Medicago truncatula: one gene and its partners. The protein of the gene in region 3 binds, or shares a complex with, the protein of the main gene of each other region. Links are inferred from orthologs where the notes say so. Each region holds a gene or a part of one and is shown on either strand. Other genes may lie near its edges.

The links.
Region 1: the proteins of NADH dehydrogenase [ubiquinone] 1 alpha subcomplex subunit 6 (region 3) and acyl carrier protein 2, mitochondrial are in contact, whole or in part, in a cryo-EM structure (PDB 8BEE), measured with the Arabidopsis thaliana proteins. The link is inferred for Medicago truncatula from reciprocal best matches to the Arabidopsis thaliana genes AT3G12260 and mtACP2. Residues at the interface, in NP_566416.1 of Arabidopsis thaliana: Phe27, Asp28, Phe30, Arg31, Cys34, Arg35, Arg56, Tyr57, Ser60, Ile63, Arg64; in NP_176708.1 of Arabidopsis thaliana: Phe61, Gln62, Asp82, Ser83, Leu84, Asp85, Val87, Glu88, Met91, Ala92, Glu94, Glu95, Glu100, Ile101, Asp103.
Region 2: the proteins of NADH dehydrogenase [ubiquinone] 1 alpha subcomplex subunit 6 (region 3) and NADH dehydrogenase [ubiquinone] iron-sulfur protein 1, mitochondrial are in contact, whole or in part, in a cryo-EM structure (PDB 8BED), measured with the Arabidopsis thaliana proteins. The link is inferred for Medicago truncatula from reciprocal best matches to the Arabidopsis thaliana genes AT3G12260 and EMB1467. Residues at the interface, in NP_566416.1 of Arabidopsis thaliana: Lys120, Thr121, Phe123, Leu124, Phe127, Tyr128, Thr129, Ser130, Asn131, Tyr132, Phe133; in NP_568550.1 of Arabidopsis thaliana: Trp361, Arg362, Leu365, Ser621, Pro645, Thr646, Ala650, Arg651, Asp652, Trp654, Lys655, Ile656, Arg658, Ala659, Glu662, Val663, Asn671.

What each region holds. Positions count from the first base shown.
Region 1 is NC_053048.1:37,332,807-37,339,951, forward strand, and holds acyl carrier protein 2, mitochondrial, read right to left. Parts: upstream 2,774-7,145; 5' UTR 2,683-2,773; coding exon 2,467-2,682; intron 984-2,466; coding exon 807-983; 3' UTR 537-806; downstream 1-536. Other genes in the region: dehydrogenase/reductase SDR family member 7, read left to right, coding at 6,471-6,537, 6,619-6,674, 6,763-6,796. UniProt on the Arabidopsis thaliana protein: Carrier of the growing fatty acid chain in fatty acid biosynthesis. May be involved in the synthesis of short and medium chain fatty acids.
Region 2 is NC_053044.1:32,876,667-32,883,778, forward strand, and holds the start of NADH dehydrogenase [ubiquinone] iron-sulfur protein 1, mitochondrial, read left to right. Parts: upstream 1-4,002; 5' UTR 4,003-4,198; coding exon 4,199-4,601; intron 4,602-5,931; coding exon 5,932-6,178; intron 6,179-6,792; coding exon 6,793-7,087; intron 7,088-7,112. Other genes in the region: nicastrin, read left to right, coding at 363-627.
Region 3 is NC_053049.1:15,314,871-15,322,143, forward strand, and holds the start of NADH dehydrogenase [ubiquinone] 1 alpha subcomplex subunit 6, read right to left. Parts: upstream 3,048-7,273; 5' UTR 2,896-3,047; coding exon 2,683-2,895; intron 1-2,682. UniProt on the Arabidopsis thaliana protein: Accessory subunit of the mitochondrial membrane respiratory chain NADH dehydrogenase (Complex I), that is believed to be not involved in catalysis. Complex I functions in the transfer of electrons from NADH to the respiratory chain.

The DNA of each region.
Region 1 (7,145 bases), on a different chromosome or scaffold from region 3:
GAGAAAATAAGAGATCATAACAAATTGAAAAATGAACAAAATGCTAGTTCAAAATATGTCGACACGGCAACTCAATAAGTTTGTAGAGTCCATGACAAATAGATATAAGAGGATGAGAGGTTCAGATGGCTAGGCATTAGGGTTTATACTGGTTTCATAACAACTTGATAATGTCTTAACATATTAGTAGCAAAATGACAATTGAATTTTGGGGAGCCACTTATCATGCGTTGAGACTAAACATAACTGGCAAATCATGGCACAGATAAGAAAACTAATGGGGGAGATAAGGAGAGGAGTGACAATCACATGGTTTGAACCCTAACATAACAATAATTAAACTAACATTTGTCATTCAAAAAAGAAACACAACAAAACACGACATCCCTGATCAAGTTATCGTTCATACAGACTACATGTAATTGAAACATTACAGATGAAGTTATACCCTCACATAACATGCAAACAAGACAATCAAACATAGTACGATTCATGAGCATACATTAAGAAGTGAGGACAGCGATAAGACCTTAATATTCTATAATCGTAAATCTAACAATTTTTATTGACATGAAAAATGGGAGCACAAAATGCAAAGTTATGTGATGCCAATACTAACAAAAGTAAAATACAACTCAAGCTGGCACATCCCCAGCCAAACACACTTCTGGGATTTAGAAGGGCGAGGAAACAAAGTTCAATTTTAGAAGCAAACAAGTGGAGCAAAAAATGTCTTAAGTTGAATGATTCTACACTACTTTATGATAAAGAAAATAAAAATTTTACAGCTAGCCTCATGAATTCCACTACTTTGCCTGAGGATGAGATGCAATGAAGTCAATTGCAAGATTAACAGAGTTGATCTTGTCTGCTTCATTATCAGGAATCTCAAACCCAAACTCTTCCTCAAGAGCCATCACAATCTCTACAGCATCCAAACTATCCAATCCAAGGTCATTCTGGAAATGAGCACTTGGGGTAACCTGACAAATGGAAAGAAGCACAGGCTCCATGTTAACAAGAGAGCATAAGCTAAAATTAAAATAGTACACAATTGCTGGCAGAGGGATTTGAATTCTCCAAAATGACACACACACTTCAAACAGTAAAGTGTAAGGTTATTTAACAGTTGTGCAAGTTTACACTATAGCCCAGTTCGGATTGGTTTATTTGTATACTAGCATATAAACTTGTGAGACTAATTGGGAGAGGTTATTTAAACAGCTTACGACATGTCCATTTAACTTCTTTCCTAAGCTCTCTAGGAAAACAGCTAATAACTTATTTGAAAACAGTTCGACTTTATTTCATCTCATGTGATAGAAATTGTTATACTTACGTACTTATACGATAATCAATTAATTAAGCTGTAACTTGTAAGTTTATCCAAACAAAGCCTTAATCCATGAAATATTCACTTAAGAGAGATCTGACACTGGGCAGTGATAATTTCATCGCAAACAGTAATGTTTATTTTGATGAAAGATCTAGCATAGAATACACCTCATATAACTAAAACAATATTATTATCGGTTGCTATATGATGTCTACAAACAAGTGTAGCTTAAAAATGATAGTATTTGAGAATTGAGGGTAATTCTTACATGGATACAATATCTACAGAACTTTAGAAAAAATTTACCAACACAACCAATCAAAACCAAGGATTATATAGATATTTTTGCATTGCATTTTACTGGTGCCTTTAGCTTCATATAAGAATTGCTCATTGATGGCATGGTAAAGTGGGTAGCAACATTAAAGGAAGGTCATGAGTCTGTTTGATATATTTGAGCTCATCTACTCACGTAAGCATTCGAACATTGTTCAGGAGAGCTTATGGAAACAACCAATGACACATCCATAAGCTAGATTATTTCCTTAAGGTCTCCAAAGTAGCTTATGAAGTGTTTGGATTGGCTTATCAGAGCTTATATACGACATAAGTTTTGTGAGACTCAGAAGAACTTGTGAAAACAGCTTATGACAATTTTCATAAGCTTTTTTCATGTTAATTTCATAAGTTCTCCAATGTAGGTTATAAAAATAGCTTATAGCATATACAAAAATAATTTAACTTTATTTTACCTTTCGCTATATAAGTAGCTTATGTAAGCTTATACATATGCACTTATCATGCTATGCTATAAGCTGCAAATAAGCTGTTTATCCAAACACGCCCTATAACTTATATGAAAACAATGTAATTCACTTTATCTTTAGTTATAGGAATAAAGAATTATGCTATTAGTGCTTAATTAATCCGTTGATCCAAACATTACCTAATTATCGGAAATAATTTTTTTGCAAAATAAGTTAAAATAAATCAAGAACTAATGGCAAATAAACCGGCAAAGTTAACAGCTAAACCTAACAATGACATCACGTTAATGATGAATGAAACAATAATTAGGAGATTGAAAAAAAAAACGAATAATAATAATAATAGTAGAAGAATAAATATACCTTAGAAGGATCAACTTTCTGGAAGTTTTTGACGCAAGAAACGACGCGATCTGTGACCTCAGATTTGTCGAGAAACGTACCCCTAACCTCTTCGCTGAAGCGACGAAGGAAAAAATTGGGAATAAGACGGAAAGGAGATTGGTGATTCAGTGGACGAGAATCAACCTGCACTCTCAAGTAGTTGATCAGAGGTAAACCGGTTCTTCTCGCCGCCATTGTTGTAGATGTCAAAAACCTCACTCTTCTCTCTCTCTCTCTCTGCTTATAGCTCCACGCGATGAATGAGATGAGAATAGTGAAGTTAGATGAAATGAAACCTTTGGTTCTAATATTGGGTTTTATGGGTTTTACCCGTTAGGCCCAAGCCCAATTTCAAGGTTGTGTTTGTGAAGATGCATACGTTGCTTATGTCAACTCCATAATCTAGGCTATGGTGTATTCATGTGAATTTAATTCAAATATATGTACCTTTCTGTCAAAAAATATTAATATATATATGTACTTTATAAAGGAGAAATTATTGGTCCAAGTGGTAACAAATTTTTTTATTAAAAAGTTAGATAAGAAATACTATTAAGCAGAACAATCGAAGCAAGAAATGTTAAGATTAAAAGAATATAAAAAAAACACTTAAACATATCGGCACTACCAAACCAACAAACACAAAAAAAAAATCAAAATCTAAGTGTAATCACTCCTAAGTATCTTAGCGGTTACGTATTTCATTGATAAAAATTGTAGGAAACACTCTTGGATTTAGTTTTAATCTAAATCAAAAATAATAATATTATTTGTGTAAAAATATCATACATAAATTTAATTATACTTCATTGTATATCGCTTGGTTCGTTCCTGAGCCATTGAAAGAGATATGTTGTGATACCATTTGTAATGCTCTAGTCTGCTTTCAAGTTTGTCGATCAATCCTAAAAACCAACACGACTCTTTTTATTGTGTTTTGTCATCATTCACACACTTTATGGTAGCTTCCAAAGAGTTATCCATCCAAAAATTGTTCAAAGTTAAGCACGCTTAAGTATGAAATTCTTATCTCAAGGGCTATAAAAAAATAATATGCATATTGTTGGTGAGAAGCTCTTTTATGAGCACAACCCTAAATTTTAGATGAGAATAAAATTAGATGATGTTGATTGATGTAAATATATTATTTTTGTTTTAATTTTTCCATTTGATGTGAGTGTGCCCAAATGCTTTTCATTTGGGGTTGTGACCATAAAAGAATTTTTCATTGTTGGTATAGGTAGTATCGATCAATCCTTATGACCTTCCTTCAATCATATAGTCTCGTACTTTCATGGTTTCAGAATCTCTTTCATTTCGATGTAATTTGATTCACTCATGTATTGCTTTGCTAAAAGAATGCCAAGAGTCGGTCATTATATGTGTCATGCGCACCGTCGATCACTCCCAATCCTCGTTGGCTTCAAGTGTCACTCTTTCGACATATTTTTTATTTGGTGCCTCTCCTGCAATGTTTTACTATCTAACTTGGTGGACCACATTACATGCATTTTGGTTTCAATTGACTATGATTAGATTACATTTCGAGGATCCATTATTGGAATTTGAACAATTGGTGTATTCTAATTTTCCTAATTGCCTTCTTCATTAACTAGATTTTTATTTACATGTGGGTTATTGTTAGTTTCATTACGGGTTGGAATTTCAAGGATCTTTTATTGCAAGTATGTTCCATTGGCTCCAATTTTGCCGAAACTGGACTCTTCGTAGTTGAATTTTAATAGCATGTTGGAGTTGGAGGAGGAGGTTGTGGGTGTGGGAGGAGGAGATGCTAGGGGAGTGTATTATTTTACTTAGTAATGTTTTCTTGCAGTGCACTGTGAAAGACACTTGGAGATGGCATATGGATCCTATTGCAGGTTATACAGTCAGCAACACTTACCTTTTACTGACTACTCCCGACATTCCTCAGGTGGAAGGTGCAGATGCTCTTGTTTGGCATAAACATGTTCCCCTTAAGGTCTCAATATTTGTTTGGCGGTTGGTAAAAAATAAGTTGTCTGCACGATCAAATCTGATGCAGCGCGGTATCCTCTCAGCTTCGGACGCAGGTTGTTTGCTAGGGTGCGGCCAAATCGAGACTTCTCAGCATTTATTTATTTCGTGTAGTTTTTATGGCACTTTGTGGAGTCAGGTGCGGTCTTGGCTTGGTGTCTTAGGCCCTGACCCCATTATTGTCTCAGATCACTTCCTTCAGTTCTCTCATTCAGCAGGTGGAGTTCGTGCAAGGTGCTCCTTCTTGCAGCTTGGTTGGTTGGTTACTGTGTGGCTCATTTGGAATGATCGTAATCAAAGGTTGTTTAACAATACATGTAGCTCTATTGATCAGTTGATGGATAAAGTAAAGCAGAACTCTATTTGGTGGCTAAAAGCTCATAATGTTGTTTTTGTTTTTGGGTTCCAATTGTGGTGGTCAAGTCCTTTAGCTTGTTTGGGACTAGGCTAATTTTTGTTTGACTTTGTATATTTGTAAATATTATGAGCCTTCCTAATACATCTTGTACTTGGAGGTGCCCGTGGTTTGTTAATATAAGTTTCATTTTTTATTGTTAAAAAAAAAAAGAAAATCATCTTTGAGATTGATACACTCTCTCTTTTTTATATGGCCATGAAGAGGTCATTCTCCTTATTTTGCTCCACAAGGTTTATTTGTTTCTCTCCTAGAGAGACAAATCAATGTTACCAAATATAAATAAATCATTACGCTTTTTTAAAGAAAAATGTAAAGGATATAATTTTAAAAAATGTATACAAATAAACCCATTTATATTTAAAAAAATATTTTTTTTCAACAAGTTACTATTTGCAAATTTAAAATAAAGATGTAAATATACCAATTCTAAAAAAAGATGAAAATATACCAATAAAATAAGTAGAAACATATTACTTATGATGATAAATCAAAGAGTGGTTTTGTTTGGAGTACATTTGATATGTTGAGGTATGAACTTAAATCTATAATACTTTTCTTTTCTACACTTTGCATGCTGAGTTTTGCTACTATCATTTTCTTTTATAGAATACTGAATACGTAGTATTACTACTTTCCTTGATTTCATTAATATTTTCTACTATTTTCTAGCCTATAACATTATTTAATTCCTTTATTTCATTAATATCATTACTTTATAAATATTCACAAATTTTCTTGTAGTTTGAACTTTTAAACCTTTATTTGAGAGAATTTCACAATTTACTTAACTCAGTTGGTAAGGACAATGCATGATATATGTAAGGTCTAATGTTCGAATTCCAGACACCACCAAAAAAAGAGATAATTTCACAATTTATAATTTAAAATTATTATTCTTGTAGTTTTGAACTTTTAAACTTTTCTTTGAGAGAATTTCACAATTTATATTTTAAAATTAATTATCATGACTTTTGCCTACCTTTGATTACCTTTGTACATACACTTTTTATGGCTATAAATAAATAAGGCATTTTTCAAATCCTAAAACATCACACAAAATAGAGAATTGAGAATTGTAATAGAGATGGGTAAGATACACATTGAAAAGTGTCATGGAAATAAGCATGATAAAAGAAAATGTGTTACGATGATGCTAATGATTATATTAGTTACAATATAAATTGAATGTATTCTTCCATCTAAAGAGTTCGGTGTTAATTAAATCGAAAGAAATTTAATATTTTAAAATGTGAATCAAATATATTCTCTTTAACAAGAGGACATGGTAATATTTGCAAATGTCGAAAATAAGTTATTTTATAGTAGTAAAAACTTAATCATAAATCCTTAAAAAAAAAAAAAAAGAAACTTAATAATCATAATGATAATTTAATAGATTTTGATATAATATGATTGTTAAAGTTGAAATATCATTAATTACGCCATGAATGATAATGACCTTAAAACGTTCAAAAGTTGATTCTAATAATTTCTAAACGCCTGGTATCATCCTTGGTTTGCAGTGTATTGTAGCAGTTGAGCAGCAGCAATGTTGGTTCTGTTCCTCTTTATCTTCCTCTTGTTACTCTTCTTATTCAAATTCGCCACTGCCTATGGTATTTTCTCACTCACTTTTTAAATCTCTTTATTTTAATAATTTTTTTGGATGCTTATTACTGTTTTGTTCAATTTATTAGGTGATTTCACTTTGATGTCAAAGAAAAAACCAAAACATGAACTAATTGAAGATAAGGTTGAATTTCTCATGCTACTGCTATTATTGATACCATACTGAAATGAAATGATTCAGTTCTTATGTTATTTGTTTCATTTCTTTCCAGGTTTTTTGGATTACTGGTGCCAGTCGTGGAATTGGTATAACTATAACTATACTCTTTTATTTAATTCATTTCACACTTATATTTCCATAGGATTATTTATATTTCATAATTTAATTCAAATTCTCCCAGAATGAAATCACTTTGTTGGAGACTAGTAAAAGAACCTGATTTTGAATGACGTCTGACAACTTGGTCCTTCTGTTAACTTGTAAGGAGTAGTTTCACAATAAGTGATACAATTCAAAAACTCATTTCCTCGTAAGTGATATAATTTAGGGACTAATTTGAAAGTAAATTAGATCCAAGTTATCAAAAGGACCAACCTGCTCGACTTAATTCAAATTTTTGAGTCTTCTCTGTCTTTTCGCAAATTTCAGAGGCAA
Region 2 (7,112 bases), on a different chromosome or scaffold from region 3:
TGATTTTGGCTAATTTCAAATCATGTGTTTATAAATATGTTGGATTGACTTTCTACACATACACGCTCACAGGTTCTCACACTCATGTGCATGCATATTTACCACACTTGGTAAAAATTTGGATTAACCCAGTTGATTACAGAATCCATACTGTTTCTAAGATTTATGTCATAATTGGCACCTTTGTTAAGTTTGCTTATGCGATGCATGTAGTTGGAGTAGACTTCATGCTTTTCATGTTTAGACTGTTCACGTGTTATATGCCCGCTTCCATTTTCCTGGTACTGCACTTGTGAACTTGACATGATTAAACGGCTAAGTTGATGCTCGGTAATTTAATATTGATGTAAAATCTTTTACAGGTACGTTCCAGCATATTCAACACGGTTATCATTTGAATCAGGAGTATGGAGTGTTTTGCCCCCAAATTCCTCAGACAAAATGGGGGTCGTAGATCCAGTCTGGACAGAAAGTAACTGGAATACAGTAGGCATTCGGATCTACACAGTCCAAATTGCTGCTTATGACCGGGTTGTTCTGTTTGGGGGAATGACTCTTACACTCTTGGCATACCTTGGAATAGCAGTTACAAGAACTTTCGTTGCCAAAGCAACAAAGAGGGATTGACACTATTAAATTTATGAAAGCTAACTACTAAATTTTGTGAAACTAGGGCAAAATTAAATAGGTTGATAGGAAAATTACTAGTTTCTGGAAAATTTGTAAGGATGTGAATTATTTAGGCCACATTCTTGTGCTTGTGAATTTATCTGCAACAAGACCATTTTTTATCACTTGTAGTTAAGTGTTAGGAAATGTAATGAAAACAAAAAGTAAAAAGCTTGGTGTGTTTGTGTTGTGTATTTCTGTAGTCCTAGTTAGTGAGCAGCAGCGTAATTTTTAATTTAATCCTTGTTAAATTATTAAAGTTCCAGTTAAGCTAATTGAATTGCGACACCTAAGTATAGTAGATGTAACGTTTAATTTGATTTTCTAAACATTAATCAATACATACTTTAGCAGAAATAGACATCAAATATACTACTAGATGTTACCCAATATTTCTCAACAAAAGAGGTTTCAATCGATCCGATATTTGATTTGAAATTAATTTTCATATATTGTCGGTGTTAAAGTTTTTATATTGGTAATCAATCACAAATCATTATTTTTATGGCGATTCAACAATTGTGATCGACTATTTGTGCATATGAATTAAATCTATTTTATTTTGATCAAACCATCTCAGTGTCTTGATTAAATTGAAAAGACTTAAGCTTATTAATAAGCCATTAGTTTCTTCTTTTGGTACAACGTTCTCCAAAGTTCTAGTGGACGTGCTTATTTTTTTCTTCATTGAAATCGAAAGGCTGAAAGCAGACTTGGAAATAGGCTTCATGTCCGAAGCATTTATATTGAAAGGCATGAAAGGTGACACGGTTACTCTATTAACGCCCTAAATACTACTCCCTCCATTCATTTTCTTTTGATGTTTTAGCTCTTGACACAAATTTTAAGGAGTAATTAAAGTATATAAACATTTGTGTGTTTTTTACTTAAATGTCCTTATTTATCATTAAATTCACATGTGATAAACCAAAGGTCACAAGTACTTTAATAGTTTATTGTGTTTTCCAACAAGGGTAAACTTGAGAAAACAATAATAAATTCACTAAAACATCAAAAGTTTTGGAATATAGTTGAAGTTCTAAAACATCAAAAGAAAAGGAATGGAGGGAGTATAAACTTAGTGTTAGTTGAAACCGATGAAGATTCAATAACGTTTGAAATTGAAACTGGTCACTATTTTCAATAATGTTTGGTTCCATTTTAGGTGAGAGTTTAGCAAAAGCTACGCTTTGCAACTTTATCACAAAGTCTTTTTCGTGAATTCAAACATAATTGATTTTGACATATTTGATTGCTTTTAAGTAGAATTAGTTTTTGCTCTGGATAATGATTTAAAGTTAAATTAAGAGCTTTTGCTTCAACAATATATATTTATTCTTAAATTTATTTCATATCGTGCTCGTAGTTTGTCACACGATTTAAGGAACTCTCATGTTGAGTTTGTCTATATATAAGTCAATGAGCTTGTCCATACACTTTTAAAGGTGACCCCATTTTTAGTTGGATTGAACGTTTCTCTTGATATCCCAAATCTCAACATTTTATTCAAGATACTACTATGAAAGAAATGCTTTGAGCTTTTTATCGCGAAAAACAAATATCACTTTACAATTTACATTCAGCTCATTTTTATTCGAAAACAATTTTACACGATCAATGCATTCAAAAATCAGTTGTTCTCACTACATAGCTAAACATACGAACTTGAGTCATTAAAGATCAATTGAGATAGGTTAGTTTAGCTTCTTCAACAAAAAAAAAGATCATCTGAGATGTGAGCTAGCCAAACGGCCAACCGAACGTTGAATATGATCAGTAACTTATTTAACTCTAGCAAACCATGAAACAGCTTGATGTTCTCAACCTGTAAAGATCATACATGAGTTTGATTATGCTCCCAAAAATCCTCACTTACATTGTGGGAATTGAAAGCCTTTTAACTATACTAACCCTTTATCAATGCGCGAACCTAGACTCTCTATTCGAGTGAGTTCCACTTCTCTTGAAGCGTAATATCCTTATAATTAAGCCAAAAAATTTATAGCATTATTTCTTAAAAATTGAAGATACCTTAACATTTAAAAAATATAGCTTCTCTTCACGTGTCTTTATACACTCTCAAATATATCATTTTCTCTACATGTAACTAAACAATTATTAAAAATTGATCTTCAATATTTTAGGGCATTGTTTAAGCATCTTAAAGTAATAACTTTTACATTTTTTTTTTTTATGGAAAAGTGCTTATAGCATTTCATTGATAATAAGAGTTTCAATACATTCGGGTAAATTAAAATAAACAACCGGACTAGCTAGTAACGTGACTTCTCTTGAAAGAGCATGGGCAACCTCGTTGGTTTGTCGCCTAACAAACTCTATCCTAGAGTTAGAAAACAGGGAGCTAAAAAAAAAAACGACAAGATGAAATAATACAACAAAATTTAGTAACTTTTACATTGAAAATATATAATTATGACTTTTATATGCGTTTGACTTGTATTTTTAAGACAATTTTCTTTTGAGAGTTCCTTAAACAATGTCCTTGGAAAATTTGTTAGCAAAACTCATACATTAATCAATCTAATAAAGTTTCAATTAGTGGTTTTGCGGGGTCAAAGCTAGATTTGAAGAGGGGGCAATAAATTTTAATGACTAGTTACAAAATATTTGAAGGAGTAGGGTCAAGTGCCCCTATTTTGGTCAAGTGACTATAGCTCACACAATTTAATTGTGGAGAAGTGGGGTGTCTGAGGTTCGAACCCCGGCCCCTGCATATAATATGCAATATCCTTACCAACTGAGTTAAGCTCACGGGATAAATGTCCCCCATTTAATATAGTGGATTTGTGCCCGTGTCCCGTGGACATTGCTTAAGGAATCCATAAATAAAAAATTTGTTTTGAAAGTATATAAGTTCTTATGTTTGATCAAATATTGATTACACTCCATTTTCTTAAAAATTTATTTGCTTTAGTTGTTTAACCAATATCTCTAGACATCGTCTTTACATTTTCCAAAAAGATTATGGGATGTGTTATTTGAACAACCACTTGATTGACAACTTATTGAACAACCATATATTTATAAAGAAAAAATAGGTATTGACACAAAAATCAAAGTAACAGCAAGATAAAGTAAAAACATATTGAGAATAGAGTGAAAAAGTTATCTCAAAAGTCGTGATAAAATGAACGTACAAATATCATTTCTTTATTTGATAAATGATATTTGTACAATCATTTTATGACAATTTTTTTTTCTTACTAATATTATATTTTTAATTTCTTTCCCGTCAATAGCTATAGAAGTTATGACATGAATGGTTATTCAAATAATACAACTCTTATATATCTACTTGCCTAAGAGCATGTGATAAACGGGTCCGAAGCAAACCCGAATCTGAAATCGGATCAATTCAACTATCTCACCCATAACTCCATACAAAATTCATTTCCTTCTTCCTTCACCTCTCCCACCTCACTCTCCCATCTTTTCTCAAATTCAACCTCCCATCTCCGATCCAACACCCTTCTTTCTCACAAACTCACAATCAATTGATTGAATCAAAATGGGGCTGGGTTTGTTAGCTTCCAAGACCCTCCGACCAACCACCACTCGCCTCCTCCTCCTCCGTTCAATCACCACCAAACCAGAACTCCGCAAACCCGAACCCGCCGCTCAACCCCAACCCGAACAGCCTCTCGTCGATCTCACTCCCCGTACACCCGTCGCTGGCGCTAGAGTCCATTTCACCAATCCCGATGACGCTATTGAGGTTTTCGTCGATGGTTATCCCGTTAAAATTCCAAAAGGATTCTCTGTTCTTCAAGCGTGTGAGGTTGCTGGTGTTGATATTCCTAGATTTTGTTATCATAGCAGACTTTCCATTGCTGGAAATTGTCGTATGTGTCTTGTTGAGGTTGAGAAATCTCCTAAGCCTGTTGCTTCTTGCGCCATGCCCGCTCTTCCTGGTTAGATTCTTCATTTTTTTTTTAATTTATTTATTTATTTTATGTTTCTGGATTTGCATTTCATTGATAATTTTTTGTATGTGTTTTGTTTATCTCAAAAAGTTTAATTTTTTATTTTTTTTATTTTGTTTCATGTGATGGATTGTTGGACGGTAAAGAATCAACATGAGAGTAAAATAAGCATAGCAAAGATTAGGATGTTGTGTTAGATGTGTGGTACAATTTAATTAAAAACACAATATTAGAGAGATAGAGTTGGGGTAGCCACCTATTGGAGAAAAGATGGTAGAAACTCGACTTAGGTGATTTGGGCTTGTAGAGAAAAGACCTGTAGATTTTGTAGTAAGGAGTGTAGATTAGATGGAGAATAGTCTGATCACTAGAAGCAAAGCTAACCTAGAAAGACTTTAAGAGAAACTATTGAGAAATATGTAGAGATTAATTAGTTGGGTAGAAATATGATACTCCCTCCGTTTCAAAATACATGTCCATTTTGGAGAAATTGCAGTAACCAAGAAACCAAATAAATTTTCTTATTTTTGATGAAAATATGTGTGTGTTTTCTATAATACCCTTAACCATTTATTATTTCTTTTTTTTTTTCTCTACAATAAATATGCAAGGGCATTATTGACAAGACAATAATTAATGTTGCATTGAAACTTGAAAGTGACAAGTATTGTGAAACAAAATTATTCTCTAAAATGGACAAGTATTATGAAACGGAGGGAGTATATGATAGAACATTATTGCGACGTTTGTTATTGTTTGTTGTTGTTTGAGTTTCATCTTGTTTGTGACTTGAGTGATCTTTTGATTAGTTCAAGGCTAAGGGTATTGAACTTGGTTGATGATTGTGTTGTTGCTTGTTGTTATTTTCAAATTTTTAGTTTGTTGAACGTGTTATGAATTTTGATACTAGTGAACCATCTATTACATTTCCTTTTAACCGTCTCGATGAAATTTCTGTTTTTATTTTTGATTTAGCTTTTGTCTGTTTATTTTTGCTGTTAGTTTTGTTCAAAAATAAAATCTAGTACTTTGTCTTTAAGTTTTTTTTGCATACGCTGATTTTCAGATTTTGCGTTACAACTTATACTTCTTTCTACTTTAATTTTTTAATTAGAGAGATATTTGATATAAAATTATCATATGTTTAGCTGGTTTGGGGATATCATCTATTTTTTTTTACCCGATCTTACTTTTAAATTCATTTGGTATTATGACACCGACACACATAAACGACCTTGATTTTGTTTAGTTGAGGTTTTTAACTATTTATTGTTTTGATTCTTGTTAAAAATGTAATATGATCATATGTTCAATTTAGGGATGAAAATCAAGACCGACACACCTATTGCCAAGAAAGCACGAGAAGGAGTGATGGAATTTTTATTGATGAATCATCCATTAGATTGCCCAATTTGTGATCAGGGTGGAGAGTGTGATCTTCAGGATCAGTCAATGGCATTTGGTTCTGATCGTGGTCGTTTCACTGATATGAAGAGATCTGTGGTGGATAAAAATCTTGGACCTTTGGTAAAGACTGTGATGACACGGTGCATTCAATGTACAAGGTTCATTTTTCCCTGCAAACTTGATTATCTTTACGTACACATTTTAATAACTATATCTTACCTTGGAAGCTAGAAATTTGTTGTGACTTTTAATGTCTAAAAGAAAGTATCAAGTGGTCTATTCATGTTAATAGAGTATGTTTATGATAATCTTGTAAGAATTAAGGACCTCATTGAGTTGCACACACACACACACACATATATATATATATATATATATATATATCTTTTTTATTTTTTTATTTTTTTAAATTAAGCAGTGGTCATTGTTACAGTATGATAGTTTGCGAGGGAACTTATGGGTCAACTTTTTCTGTATATGATTAAAATAATAATCTGAACTGATGCCTCTTCAAAAATAAAATAATCTGAACTGATGATTTAGTTTGGTTGTATGTTTTACTTACTCTCATGTCAGCTAAGGGCCAGCTAGGTTTCTTTTAATTTATGGTTAATGACATTTGGTAGCAATAGGCGTTGGCTATTTTGTAAAACCTAATCTTCAATATTTGGTAGCCTTCCTCTTTTTGTTGTCAATTAAATGTTATATGTATCGTGATTATTTTATCTGAGTTCCTTAATGGATCTTGTGGAATATCACTTTCTTCCCACAGGTGTGTTAGATTTGCATCAGAGGTTGCAGGGGTTCAGGATCTTGGCATGTTAGGTCGTGGTAGTGGAGAAGAGATTGGAACATATGTTGAAAAACTCATGACAAGTGAACTCTCTGGAAATGTAATAGATATCTGCCCTGTAGGAGCACTCACTTCAAAACCTTTTGCATTTAAAGCCCGGAATTGGGAGTTGAAGAATACAGAGACCATTGATGTTACTGATGCTGTTGGTTCCAATATTCGAATTGATAGCAGAGGACCTGAAGTCATGCGCATTGTTCCTCGTTTAAATGAGGTTAGATACTGATGGAAATGTTTTT
Region 3 (7,273 bases):
AATTTTGCATCCTATCATACCATACTATATATAACTTCTATCCCCTTGAAAATTATGTCACTAAATTCCCCAAAGACTAAGAAACCCAACATACCAAACTGTGAATTTTGATACGCTTAAGGCCTATTAAATTTGAAAAAAAATCATTTTTTTGCCAACAATAATTATAAATGTGTCATGTTAGTTTCATTTTATATCCTGCTTTTGAAGATTTTTACAAGAACTAGTGAAGATAAGTTTATAATATTTTCACCATTTTTTGTATAAATATTTGAGAACAGTGAATGAAGTAAAAGTAATGGGATATTTTTACAACTATTAGTGAAAAAACAACTTTAATTCAAATTAAATATAACCTTAATATCCATTAGATAATTGTTTTCATTTTTTCGACCAAAAAAAACAAAACTGTATGCATTTCTCAGTGTTTAATACATCACTATGCCTATTGAGAATAATCATTGCCAGTAAACAAAAACTTAGAGCTTTGTAAATACTAGCTAACATTAAAGAAGTATACTAGTACAACAGTCAAAAAGCAAATTCAATGAGTGAATATTAGAATCTTTCTCTTGTACTATTGGAAGTTATCCTAGTCCCTCTTGTATCAGATATTTTTCATGCAACTGTCTTTGCAAGTGTAACTACCTATATAGTGACAGCTATAGTTAGAATATATCTAGGCTGTCCCCATAGCTCTATATAAAGGTTAACAGAGTTCTTGGAACAAGAATTCATTTTTCAGATTATCAATAATATGAGAAAGAGTTTTCTCTCAATTTGCTATGATCCTATTATGGTATCAAAGAACCATGATTAAGATTTCTCGGGTACTATTCTTCTTCTCCTTCCCTCCCCTCCTCTACCAATTCACCGCCTTACTTCTGCAACTCATTGATCCTCGACTGGAGAAATTTGTTCATCCTCCTTACGTTGAAGTTCCACCACTGCAAATTCCTTCGACAATGGAAAATTTCATAGGGATCTGTGGATTCTGAAGGAAGTGATGGCGACAAAGATTGCAAATAACAGGTTCAACTTGTTGGTGCCACAGAAGATAGTTTTGACTTTTGAGCATCCAACTTTTCAGGGATCTTCTGTGAGACTGTTATGCTCGGAGAAGAAGGAGCTTGTGGTGGCAGAACGTTCTACTGTGGAGGAGGAACAACATTCTCCGGTTGAGGATCCATGAGTTGGATAAGTAAGGCCGTGAAGCGGTGGAGGAGGGAGGAAGAAAGATCATATCCAAGGCATTGTAACGTTAATTCCATACGATAGTAGAATCAGATCAGATTCAGAAAAATTTGTTCTCATATTATTGATATTCTGAAACATGGATAGTTGTTGTTACAACTTACAAGGGCTCTATGAACATATATATATATAGAGCTATGGGATAGTATACAGCCGACAACAATTATGGTTACAGTTGTCACTATGTAAGGTACTAAGAAAGACAGGTACAGGGAAAAAACATAGCACAAGAGAGACTAGGTCCCTGTTTGGATTGGCTTATTTTAGAGCTTATGTAAAACAACTTATGTATATAAATAAGCTTTTGTGTATTATTTATAAGCTTGTTAAGTTAGTTTATGAAAAAACGACTTATGAAGATGCAATTTTTGTTAGCAAGAACTTATAAATTAACATAAAACCTTATTTATTTGCAAAAGCTATTTTCCATAAGCTCCATCCAAACAAGGCCTAGGATAACATTCATTAGTCCAAGAGAAAGACTCTAATAAGCCTAATACCTTGCCTCCAAGTGGATTTCACATTACGTTGAAAAATTTACAGCAAATTTGGTTTTAGAAAGAACGAAAAAAAAAATAAAAAAATCAGCCAAATCATGTATATTTGAAATGACGTTTGGCAAACACTGATCCAAAGATACACTAAATAACTTACACAAGAATTCTAAATCAGCTAGGTAGGTTTTACACACCAGAAGCAGAGAAATAGATTCAAGGTAATCCATTTGACAATAAGCAACTACAACCTAACATCTTTTAAAATCCATTGTAAAAAAAAGCTTTTAAATCCCTATTGATTTTAAACAAGCAAGTTAGTTTCCAACTTCCATATCCACTTCAAGTGTAAAATTGAGATATCCAACTATTACGCACCATCCGCAAGCCTAATCCCGTATAATCTATACAAAACACTCATTCAATTTCAAATGTGAATCTAAAGAAACATAAATTTGGTGAAAATAAACATTATATTACACTGAATCAAGTCATTTTCTCAAAATTTTATTGGTGTCAATGTGTCAGTGTCGTGTGTTTTTCTCCTGCCTAAGAGAATATCAATCTTTATCTACACCTATATACAAAAGGAATGCAAAAAAATCTATGTAGCATTTTCTATTACAAATTTGTCTTTTACTACAAATAAATTTACCAATTTACCTCAAACCACATCCAAAAGTAACTAATCACCAATAAACCAAAATCGGTCAACATAATACACAATTAAGCGCAATAGAGCCAACAAAGTGATATTCCCTAGGGTTTCAATATATTCCAATTAATATTAAATCAAAACATGTACATTCATATAACCATTTTCTGAATCAATCTAACAACTCCAGCTTGAAACACTACCTTCATGAAATTAAAAAAAAGAAAAGAAATTGGAATAGTATTATAGTATGAATGGTGAAGAAGGAAGGAAAGGTACCTTGGGATTGGTGATATGGTCATTTTTGCGGATCTCAGCGGCGATGGTAGAACGAAGCTGAGAAACGGTAGCGACGTCGTAAAGATTGTAAACCTCCATGACGGTAGGTAAAGATCTACAAGCGCTTCTGAAGAATTCGAAAACTCGTTGACGCGCTTCAGAGAGATTCACTGAGTTTGGTGGTACTTTCGCGTTTCGAATCGCTTGCGCCATTTCCGATTCAACTCAACGAGCTTTGAAATGATGATTCTGTTGTTGGAGGTGAGGTGAGAAAGAGAGAACTAGAAAGTGTAATTGTGGAGGACACGGGACATACGAACGATGTCGTATTGAGTGTGCATTTTACCTTGTTGCTACATCTATTTCTCTTGCTGTAATAATGTTAATTGTTAATTTTACTTATCTTAAATGCAATTTTGATCACATTATATTTTATTTTTTTGCCGTACCAAAAATGTATTTATCTTGGTGTAATAATGTTAATTGGTTTATTATTATTATTTTTTTTACCTTTTTTCTATTTGATCACATAGTTTTCATTATGGTTGAACATATTAATCACGACTTATATGTTATAACCATCTTATTATAATAATAAAATAGATAAATATGTATTAATCTTCTATATTTTTAAATTGATAATGTCAACGTGTTCATGTCATGTCAGATGTATGTGTCAATCTTTCTGTTTTATATAATCTTTTATGGTCTATAAATAAATAAATAGTTAATTAACGTGAGTATTTTGTGTTTTGGTTTTGGAATTATAGGACAAGATGATGATGATGGAGCTTCATAAGATTCCTATAAATTCACATAATGGTACCTGCAATTAAATCAGCACATGCTTTAGGGTGTGATTTGAGTTATTGTGAGCGATGCCAATGTGTTTTACATTGAAACTATTTTGAAGCATTTGGGAATAAGTGAATATCTTCTCAGAGATTAACACTAATCTTGGTTATGTTAATGAAGAAGGTAGACTAAGAATGTCACCATACCACTTCAACAAGGCTTCACATGGTTGCACTCTTTACCCTCCAAACATGTGCTATACCTTTTTTAATGATTTTTTGTCTTTTATTTTAGGCCATTAGATTTTATGAAAATATAAAATAAAGAATAATGTTAAAACTTTGTCAAAAAAAATGTTGATGTGGGACCACCATAGTTTAAATTTAAATCAATAAAAAAATAATCTTAGCTCCTAATTTTGTTTTCTAAATACAACTCATATAGTAGTTGCAGAGACATTTGATATGTTAAGGCGCAAGTTTGAACTTGCAATTTCTCACTTCTCAATATTTAGTGTGTGAGTTTCGTCACTAGATTCTTTCGAACCATATAAGAAGTAAATCTTTATTTGTCTTTATTTTAAAATTCATGATAAACTAAATTTTTAATCATTATTCAGGGTTTAATCATAGATAGAATTCAAAATTCAATTTTTGAAGTGGATAACAAGAGATTTATCTACCATGGTGATGGTATTGGAGACTATTGCCCTAGTTTGAGACTTAGAGAAAGAGACTTTGTTATGTCAAGGAAGAACTTTCCAGTATGGGACTTGATATGAAAAGACCCTTTACTTAGACCAGCCATAATTCATCTGATTGAGTCAAATCATGTTATCTTTGCAAAAAACCTTTATATTTATATTATGATGATACATATTTATAGATTTTATATAAAATCAAACCAATACTAAGTTTTCCTTAATTACATTTTCGTATTCGTAGCTGTTAGCACAGTAAATCTGGTTCAAAAGAATAAAAAATCACACAATGTTTGATAACGAAGTTCAGTTCAATTGTGCATACATTTGAGACTATAAAGCGGCTGCACCTCACTTTCTGTTATATCAAGCTTAGGGTTTATTTATGGTGTACAATTTGTACTCAAATACTATGTCTAGATTACAACGTCACCGTCATTAAAGTCATTATTCTCGCTTTCCTCGATTGGCTTGTCCACTTATGAGTAACTATGAGGCATACTCAACAATAATATGGTTCATGACAATTTGCCTATTGTTATAACCTAAAAACTGAAAAGTCTACTAACAAAAGATGAGGTTGTGGACAATTATTTATGCAAGAAATTACTACCGATTTAATTTGCAGGTTTAATAGATTTATTGGGTACAGATTAGAGAGAGCAAATAAATTGAAATATGTACATATATAAAAATTTATGTCCGTAAAACCTAACTCAACTCACAATGCTGAGGTTGTTGAGCTGAATCTCTTCACCGGGTTCAAACCCGGGAATTGTGTGAGTTTCAGCGATCTTTGTCACTTCGTCTATAGAACAAAAATAAAATAAAATTCAAGGAATCATATATTTTTCCTTTATTATTCTAGGCTCATAACTACTGTCCTGCCAACCATTTTCCTTCAATTTATTTATAAGCATTATTTTGCATTAAACCATTATTCATTGATGCTTCCTGCTAATATTTGGGAAGGAACTCTTCCTGCAGCTGGACCAATATTCAGCTACCAGCTTAGAGAATGAAGAGTTGGTATCCATTAGCTTTGAAGGTTCATCATATTCCACCAGTTTCCCTTTAATAACCGGCCGAAAATTATGAGGGAATGGATATTACTAGGAAATAAAAGCAAAGAATAATAAGGAATTAACATACCATAAGATAGGACCATGACCATGTCACTGTCTATTACAGTTGGAACTCTGTGAGCAACAGTTATAACTGTGCATTCTTCAAACTCTTGTCTGATTATTCTTTGTAGAATGGCATCTGTGGCTGAATCAATGGATGCAGTAGCTTCGTCCAAAACAAGAATTTTGTTCCTCTTAAGTAGAACTCTTCCGAGGCAAAACAATTGGCGTTGTCCCAAGCTCCAATTTCCACCTTCATCACTCACTGCAAAACTTATCAGAATTAGACTTTCATACCTTATTTATTGGTTGTAAAATAATATAGTGAACAATAGAAAGGAGAAGGCGTAGCTTCAATGTGAAAGAAACCGGTACCAAACATAGAAAATACTGACCAGAAGAGTCCAAGAGACTTGGTAGCTTGCAGATTGTTTCCTTAAGCTGACATTTCTCTACAGCCTAAACATACAAATCAAATATAATCAAACCGGTTTGTATTAAATGGCTCATATAAAATTCAGCTACATTCAGTAAATACATATTTTTCTACCAGTTGTGAAGTTAGTTCATTTACATTCCATATTTCATCATCTGAGTACAGGCCTAGAGGGTCCAGGTTTGTTCTAATGCTGCCCTTGAAAAGAGTTGGTTCTTGAGGGATTATGCTTAGCCTCATTCTCAAATCCTTCAACCCCATTGAGCAAATGTTTATCCCATCAATAAGAATATCACCGCTTGAAGGCTCAACTAAGCGAAACAAAGCGCTAATCAGTGTACTTTTTCCACTTCCCGTCCTTCCAACAACTCCGACCCTACTTCCTCCTTTAAATGTACAAGTGATTCCCTTAAGGACTAATGGAGCATTAGGACGGTATCTAATCTGAAATCGAAGTACAAAAACAGAAATTATAGGAAAATTTTATGTCCAGTTGTCACAAATAAAATAGGCGACAACATCGAAAATAGAGGTGGAAAATAAGACAAGGATGGAACATTACCTCTAAGCCTTGAAGATCAATCTTGCCCTTGGAAGGCCATGAAGATGGAGGTCGGTTATGATCCACAACGGCAGGAGGCTCAGCTGGTATGTTAATGAATTGTTTGATTCTTTCAACAGAGATAATATGGTTTGATAAATTTGAAAACCATCTAGTCCAAAATATTTGGGCTCCTGTCAAGGTAAAAGCATAAGAAAGAGACAGTCCAACAAGGCCTGCAACACAGAACAGGAGAGTTGCCAAGAGTTATTGGTTTAAACATAATCATATCATGGTAATTGACATATTATATCGTAGGTGTAGATTTGTTTTTATCCATTCAAATCTACCATTTTTATCTTTGAGTCCCTGTAATTTTATCATTTTTATTTTACTTTTGGTCCTTGTTGTTTTACTTTATCCCCATAAATATTTGTTTATGCTGGAATTTGTCTCGTTAATATGCATAACATTTGATTTAGTCCCTCCAATATGAACTGCGTAAGGATTAAAATGAATTTTGCACACTTATTACACGATCTAATTTTAATTTGAACAAAAAGTAGGGACTAAAACAAAATAACAAGGACCAAAAACAAAAAGTGGTATATTGATAAGGACTAAAAACAAAAATAGAAATTACAGCGTTTAACAGCAGAAAAATTGTATATTTGCATGGACCAAAAATATATTTAAACCTATATTATATTACCTGGCGATACATATCCCCGAGGAAGTAGAATAATCAGCAAAGCTGCAGTGATGACAGTCAAGTTTTGAAGTGCTTCAACCCTTACAACTACCCATTCCATTGCCACATTAGAATGAAAGAACAATGAAGCATCTGTGTCCACAAGTTTTAAGTAGTTTTTGAAAAATCTGTCTACCATGCCAAATGCTCTTACAGTAACTACTCCAAGCGATGTCTCAGCTGCAAAATTCATGACAGGAGCTTTGGTGGTTCCGTTGATCCGTATTAGTTCCCTTGAAGA